2 linked regions of the Rhinolophus ferrumequinum genome follow. The protein of the gene in region 1 interacts with the protein of each later gene in a biochemical or structural test. Links are inferred from orthologs where the notes say so. Each region holds a gene or a part of one and is shown on either strand. Other genes may lie near its edges.

The links.
Region 2: the proteins of ANXA7 (region 1) and SRI interact in a biophysical measurement, tested with the Homo sapiens proteins (2 studies listed by BioGRID and IntAct, with this or other methods). The link is inferred for Rhinolophus ferrumequinum from reciprocal best matches to the Homo sapiens genes ANXA7 and SRI.

What each region holds. Positions count from the first base shown.
Region 1 is NC_046299.1:50,914,130-50,917,876, reverse strand, and holds the start of ANXA7 (annexin A7), read left to right. Parts: upstream 1-1,326; 5' UTR 1,327-1,459; intron 1,460-3,747. UniProt on the Homo sapiens protein: Calcium/phospholipid-binding protein which promotes membrane fusion and is involved in exocytosis.
Region 2 is NC_046303.1:37,057,845-37,061,591, reverse strand, and holds the start of SRI (sorcin), read right to left. Parts: upstream 2,669-3,747; 5' UTR 2,586-2,668; coding exon 2,532-2,585; intron 1,597-2,531; coding exon 1,513-1,596; intron 1-1,512. UniProt on the Homo sapiens protein: Calcium-binding protein that modulates excitation-contraction coupling in the heart. Contributes to calcium homeostasis in the heart sarcoplasmic reticulum. Modulates the activity of RYR2 calcium channels.

The DNA of each region.
Region 1 (3,747 bases):
ACATTAAATTTCTTGTTAAACTTGGGAAGAGTGGAAGTGAAATCAGGGACTTGTTAGTCCAAGTTTATGGGGATAATGCCATGAAGAAAACGGCAGTGTACAAATGGATTAAATGTTTTTCCTAGAGGAGGAACAGAGGTTCAGGGTGGCCAGTAACGAGCAGAATCGACAAAAACATTGCAAAAATTCATCGAATTGTGCGTCAAAATTATCGATTGACTATGAGAAGCATAGCAGACCAAGTAAACATCTATAGAGAAACAGAAAAATCTTAACTGAATATCTTGGAATGAGAAAGGTGTGTGCGAAAATGGTCCTGAAGGAGCTCACTGATGAACAAAAGCAAAGGAGAGTCGAAGTTTGCCAAGACCTTTTGGAGAGGCAAGACAATGTTTTGGGCTGTGTTGTCACTGGTGACGCAACATGGGTGTACCAATACGACCCTGAAACAAAGCGTCAAAGTGCACAATGGAAGTCAGTTCTCCATGACCAGAAAAGTTCCATCAGTCCAAATCGAGAGTCAAAACGATGTTGCTAACCTTTTTTGATATCAGAGGGATTATTTATTATGAATTTGTACCAACTGGACAAACAGTTAACCAAGTTTACTATTTGGAAGTGCTGAAAAGGCTGCGTGTAAAAGTTAGATGAACTGAACATTTTGCCAACAATTCATGGCTCTTGCATCACGACAATGCACCAGCTCACATGGCACTGTCTGTGAGGGAGTTTTTAGCCAGTAAACAAATAACTGTATTGGAACACCCTCCCTACTCACCTGATCTGGCCCCCAATGACTTCTTTACTGGAAGATAAAGGAAATATCAAAAGGAAGACATTTTGATGACATTCAGGACATCAAGGGTAATACGGTGACAGCTATGATGGACATTCCAGAAAAAGAGTTCCAAAATTGCTTTGAAGGGTGGACTAGGCACTGGCATCAGTGCATAGCTTCCCAAGGGGAGTGCTTCGAGGTTGATGTAGTGATATTCAGCAATGAGGTCTGTAGCACTTTTTCCAGGATGAGTTCCCGAACTTAATTGTCAGTCTCCTAAGAGGTTGATGAAGCCGCATCTGGCCTCCCAGTCTGAGCCCTCATCTGCTACCCACTGAAGGGGCTCCGGGATTCTTCAGAACCGCTGCAACTTCTCAAGTGAGTTGCTTGAGAGCCCAAACGGGTTTGGGGCTTGGTCCGTGGGATCGAAAAATGTGATACAACTGGTTGCTCCACCTGAAGGGCCGTCTACCCCACAGGTGGAGCTGCAGGGCGGGGACAAGGGAAAGCCCGAGCCCCGGTCCCAGGGCGGCGCCCTCCTGCCCCAGGGGCGTTCCCCGCTGCGCTGGCGATCTTAACGGGCTCGCGCGGAGGCCCCCGGGCCCCGCCCTCCCCGGGCCCGCCCCCGGCTCCATCTTGCGGGCGACCGGGTTGGGTTGTGACGCTGCTCTCGGGAATCAGGTGAGGAACGGCGCCCCCTACCCTTGCCACCCCCCTCGACCCCCTTAGCCATCCCGCCCGGCCCGCTCTGAGCCCCGCTGTCCCCGAGCTAGCGCGGCCCCGAGTGTGTCCCCGCGCCAGGGGGCGGTGGAGGGGCCTGTGGGCCTCCCTGGGCGGGCGACTAGATGTGCGCGTCTCGGCCCCCCGGCTGATCGGTGGGGACTTTCGGGCGGGGGCGCATTGGGGAGGGATAGGCAAGGCGGCCAGCCGGCCTGGCGGGCGGGAAACGGGAAGTGCTGTGCGCGGGTTCTGTGCGGCTCGGCCTTCCCGAGGTCAGAGGGAGCCGCGAGGCCCCGCGCACAGGCAGGTGGACCGCAGGTGGAGGGGCTGAGGCCGGAAGATGGTCCTGCTGGAGCGACCTCAGGAAGGCTGAGGAGGGAAACCAGCGAGCGCACCGGCAGCTAATTCTGGCTGGTGACTAGACTTTCCGGTGACACAGCAAATTTAGGGAAACTTGGGAAATTTGTGATGCGCTTAGTGATCCCGTAAGACAATGCACAAGCGTAAAATTGTACACTGGTTCGGGTTTATTATTCTTGGCAACCCTTTTAGGAAATAGCATTGCAGATTGACTCCTGTTCCATGGACAGCAGCAAACGTGTGCTGTTACGGGAAATGGCTGATGTCCACCATAGGGTGACACAGGGAAAGAAGTCGTCCAACTGCCTTTAAACTCCTCAATTTTGCCAGCTGATAGGGACCTGATCTGGTAAAGGCCGTCCTAATTAGGTAATATAACGAGTTAACTCTTAGGCAGGGAAGGAGTTTCAAGACTAGTATAGGTCAAGACTAATTTTGACCACTGCAGATTTAAGCCTCTTTTCAGCCCTCACTGGTGGTGACTGCCTACCCTGTCCACTCAGAAGACGTGCCTCCATGTCTTTATCCGAGGGCTTTTGGGGACTGATTTCAACGGTCCTTGCCAACCAAGAGGCAGGTTTTGGAAAATTGTAGTATCTGCTGTTGGCCATCCTCATTCACCCTTCCTGTTTCCTATTTATTTCATAAATTTGCAACACTTGCCTCGTGTTCTTGGGCTTCCTGCCATCTAGGAGACTCCCATAGTGAGACTCACCCCTTTTAGTACATGACTCACTGGGTGGAGATGGTTTGGAGAACCAAGAATGATTTTCTAGTCTTTTAAAAGTAGTTGCTGACGGAGAATGTTAAAAAGAAAAGCTCTGGTTCACCAGTACAGTCTTGTTATGCGTTGGCCAAAGTGGAGTAATTTGTTGTCACCCTGGACTTGAAGCTTTTCACAAAAGCTTTTTAAATTTACCTTTTCAATAGATGAGACATGCACAATTCTAAATATTGAAAAGTAAGTCTCATTATGCTGCAGCTCTTTTCCCTGGAGGCAGCCCTTGTTTTTCTACTTCCTTGAGAATACTTTCAGGGATATTCTGTGCATAATCAAGCAAATAAATAATTTTTTTACGTATATGGTTGCAAATTATCTATGCAGTTTTCTACCTTGTTCCCCCCCATTTATGATTTAGAGGTGATTTCACACATGAGTTAAAAAACAACAAAAACTAAAACTAATTTTTGATAGCTGCATAACACTTAAATGTATGGCTATCTATAATCTATTTCTCTTATTGATGGACTTTTAGATTGTTTTTAACCTTTTTCCATTACAGATAGTGCTGTAATGAATAGCCTTGTACACACATATGTTGCATTTGTGCAAGTATTTCTATAAGGTGCATTTCTGGAAATGGAACTGCGTTCTAGTCCTTTATATAGTTACATTCTTCAAAATGTACCCAAATTCACTTTCTTAAAATTGCTTTAAATTTTCTCATACTTGTATACAGAGTCTTTATTTTCATTTGGTTTTACAACTCTTGTTGACGTAATTCCTCTAGGCTCTTCAAGGTAGGATTTAATATAGTAGCTAAAGAATGTAGAAATAGGACTTTGTCATTAGAACAATATTCCGAGATTTAGAAATTTAAATTGCCTTTAAAATGATTAATTTCTCTAAGTTATTTTCAGATTTTTTCCCCCCTTCCTTTTGACCCTGACCTCTTTTGCCCTTGATCTAACTGACTGTTCTTAGATGTTGTTGTCTGTCCCTCCTTTACTCCTTATACCAACCAGGCTTAGAGAAGAAGAAAGCAAAAAATGATTTTGCTTGTTCCTCTTTTTACATTCAGGCCTTTGGATCCCAAATGATTATTTTAGAACCGACTGGGTCAGTTTTCTTAATGTCTTATTACATTTCTTATTAACTTATCATTTTG
Region 2 (3,747 bases), on another chromosome or scaffold:
TAGGAACATGCCAAAGTTAAGCATTTTAAAATAATGTAGTTGCTTAAAAATCTTAAAAACCTCCTTCTAGCTTTTGGGGGAGAGAGGGGAAAGCGGGGTACACAGCTGACATGAGTAAATAAAAAGCTTGGTTCAAACAGAGAGAGAGAGACAGAGCAAGAGACCTTTGGGATCACCTTTGCTTATGATGTGAATGGGTGAATTTTTTTTCAGGCCCCAATTATTTAAGTTCCCAGTGGCTATTCTAGGTCAGAATTAGATATATGTTACTTTTAGGAGTTTTAAAATAAAACACCTAAGTCCATGGGTATTATAAATGCTAAATGAGCAGAAGGATCAACAGTTTGAAAGATGACGGCTACTCTGATACAGGCCAGGGCTGCTGAAAGCTAAGTAGGTGGGGTCACTTACATGGATGGAGGCACGGGCCATCTAAGAAAGTGAGTATTGAGCTTTGCTGTGTCTTGTGGTTTCAAAGATACAGATCATTAACAGATCAAGCAGATACTTACCGGGAAGCTCTTTCAGTTTTAGACTCAATTTTCCACTCAATTTCTCAAACTGCATTTCTTAGAGTGCTATTCTAAAAGGTGGTCTTAGGTTTTTATCCCATAATATTCTATGGCATTTTCACATGAAGATTGTGTTACTTCTAGCTTTTGATCAAAACAAAGCTAAACTGAATTCATCTGAGCAAACATTCCCTCTGGACATGTCTGGGTTATACCAACAGCATATTAACCATACACAGTGACCGCGGGAGCTAGGGATATGTCCTATCAATCCCCACCTGCACCTGTCAAATAACTCAGAATGTAGAGAAGTAAAAGGTCTTGGGGAGCAAATCTTCGTCCTCTCTTTGGGTCAACAGGCCACAACACCTAATAAGGACATAGAAGATCTGACCTAGTAACAGAATCTGCATCAAACAGAAACTAAACAGATCACAAGATTAACTTCCTGATAGTAAAAAAGAGTAGTAACTTTCTTATTTTGAAGCTGGTGGGTTTTTACCGTAAATACCTATTTCCTAAGGGGGTAATTGATAAACAATCAAATTTAACCCAAAGAAAGTGTCCATTAATATCTGGTTATAGAATTACTAGTACATGCCTTTCAGTTGTGCAAACAGGGGTTTATGTTCACCAGATACAGAATTTCTTCTCTGGAAACCACCCTGGATCCTGACAATCGAGTCACAGTTCTAAAGACATCTTTCTATCTTACAGATCTTAAAACATATTCATAACCCCCTATTCTGTTCAATCGGACACTAATTCAATCACAAGTTTAGTTCTGAATGGAACTAATAAAAACACCAGTAACACTTTGCCCTAATTTGTTCTGAAAACTCAGAAATAAGTGACTATAAGTTTCCTTCTTTCTCTTTTTTCTTTTGCAGAAGCAAAGGGATTCTTTTTCCAGAGGAAAGGTAGTTTTTCTGTGCCACTGTAACAGGCTAATACAAATGTAGACTCTTTCCATTCTCTAGTATTAAACAGAAAAGCTAACCTGTCCAGCTACTGAAGCGAAGTAACCATACAGCGGATCCTGAGTTTGTCCGGGAAACGAAGGCCCTCCGGGAGCCCCTCCATACTGTAAAACAGGAAACACAAATTTGGCATCATATTGCTGAACCAAGTTTTATTTTTTCACTACCGAGTGCCTTTGTGCAAAGCCAGGCAATGGCCTGCCATTCACTTCATTTACCCCCCCACCACCGGGCACACTAACTGCACTCACTCTACCTCTTTCTTCCATTCTCACTCCAGTCTAATTTTAAAAAACTGGCGGCTTGGACCAAAATGAATTGTCCTGACAATGACATCTGCATAAGTGAAGCAGCTTTAAAAACCCCTATTAACCTGCAGGTTACTAAGGTAAATGCAACCCAAGCAACAATTTATGAGCAGAGCTTAATTTTTTTTTAATAGAGTTTATGGTATTTTCAAAGCATTTTGAGACAGGTGTTGCCAGGGAGGGTAAGGTGTGTCTCGGCTGCGCTATTTCGCCACGGGGGAATATTCTTGGAAACAGTTTCCAAGACAACGCGCATCCCAGAAGCCAGGCTAGGCAGCTTTCTTCTCGGAGTGCTTTTACTCTGGCGGTCCTTCCTTGATTTTTTTTCCCCCCCTCACCTTGTTTTAGAGAGAGAGGTAGAGCTCTGGACCATTCTAGGTTAAAATGGCTGTTAGGGGAAACACAGAGGGAGGGAGAGGAAGCCCACACCCAATTTGCACAATTTCACGCCGCCTGTCCGAGAGTCACGGGGTGGGATTCTGGGGTCGCAATCCACCCGTGCCTTGGCCTTGCGTAGCCACCCGTGGGGAGGCAGAAGGAACAGAGAGATGGAGGGAGCCAGGGAAAGAGGCCGAATGGCCTGGGCTTGGGGCGAGGCAGCGGGCAGGGAGAAGCCGGGGGCGGGAGGTGTCCGGGGAGCCGCCCCAGCAGAGTCGCTAAGTGTGGTCTCTCGGCGTCCCCAGGACCCAAGGGTCGCGCCCGGGCTGCAGTCCCGCGCGGGCAGCACTTACCTGGCTTTGGTAGAAGCCGCCGCCGCCGGAGCCAGGGTGCCCGGGGTACGCCATGGTGCAGACTGCGCCGCCACCACCCTGCGCGCCCTGCCTTACTGCCCGCCCGCCGCGGCCGCCCCGGAGCGCACCACGCGGGCGGCGGGGGGGGGGGGGACGCGCGCCGGAGCCGCTGCCCGCACGGGGGTCCTCTTTTGCCTCGGTCCCCTGCCTGCGCCCAGCCCTTTATTGTACCTTATATGCCGAGGCCGTGCATCGCCGAAGGCCCGGTAAGTGACTTAAGACCTGCGAATTAATTCACACCAGGGACTTGCCTCCCTGCGAAACGAATGGCACATTCCAACATCAACTCGGAGCCTGGGGAATTCTATTTTTCTTCCTACTTGGCTATTTTCTGACGTTTTTCATCTTCAGCAGTTTTATTGGCCGGGGCCGACCTGCTCTAAGCTGAGTGCAATATCGAGGGCGAGGGGCTGAATACATTAGGGCCCCTATTAGATGCTTGAGGGGCATGGAGGTGTTGAAAAATCAAATATGAAAGCGCCCTTGGAACACAGGAATAAACTTCAGAAACTGTGCAAGGGAGCGTTTGGCTTGGGGTTACATATTTCACTGAACAACAACGGCATGTTTCCTTGCTAGGGGACATTGTCATCTCCTGGTTAAACTGGGCGTAGCTGGATGTGGCTTGGGTAGGACAGAGGGCTTTTACTGCGCAGGGCAGTCCCGCCCAGAGCGTCTTTAGAAAGGGAGTTGTTTCAATTAGTATCTGCGTGACTCAGGCAAAATAAACTCTCTTTCCAAAATTACTCAGCTGCTTTTTAGAGCAATCGAGTATTAGTAAATATTCAGGAAGATGAAAGATTAGAACTAAGGTGATTCAGAAAATGGTTTTCTTTACTTCACACGTTCTTCCTTTTCACCCAGTTGAACAGTCTGAAGCTATTCAGACGAGAGTTCTGTTTGGTTTTGATTGATGTAATTTCAATCACACAGAATGTTTTTGTGAATTTTAACGTTTTTAGAAATTCATTAATGAGCAAGATTCACAGTATTTGCTGTGGAGGTTGCCCAGAAAAACAGTCATTAGTTTTTGGACCACCTGCTGAGCATGGTACTGGCCTTTTTCACCATGATATGGTGGACGAGGTTCCTCCATTCCAATGTCCTGCGCAGTGTTCTCACTAGGGTCATTGTTTTCCTCTCATGTATAACTTCC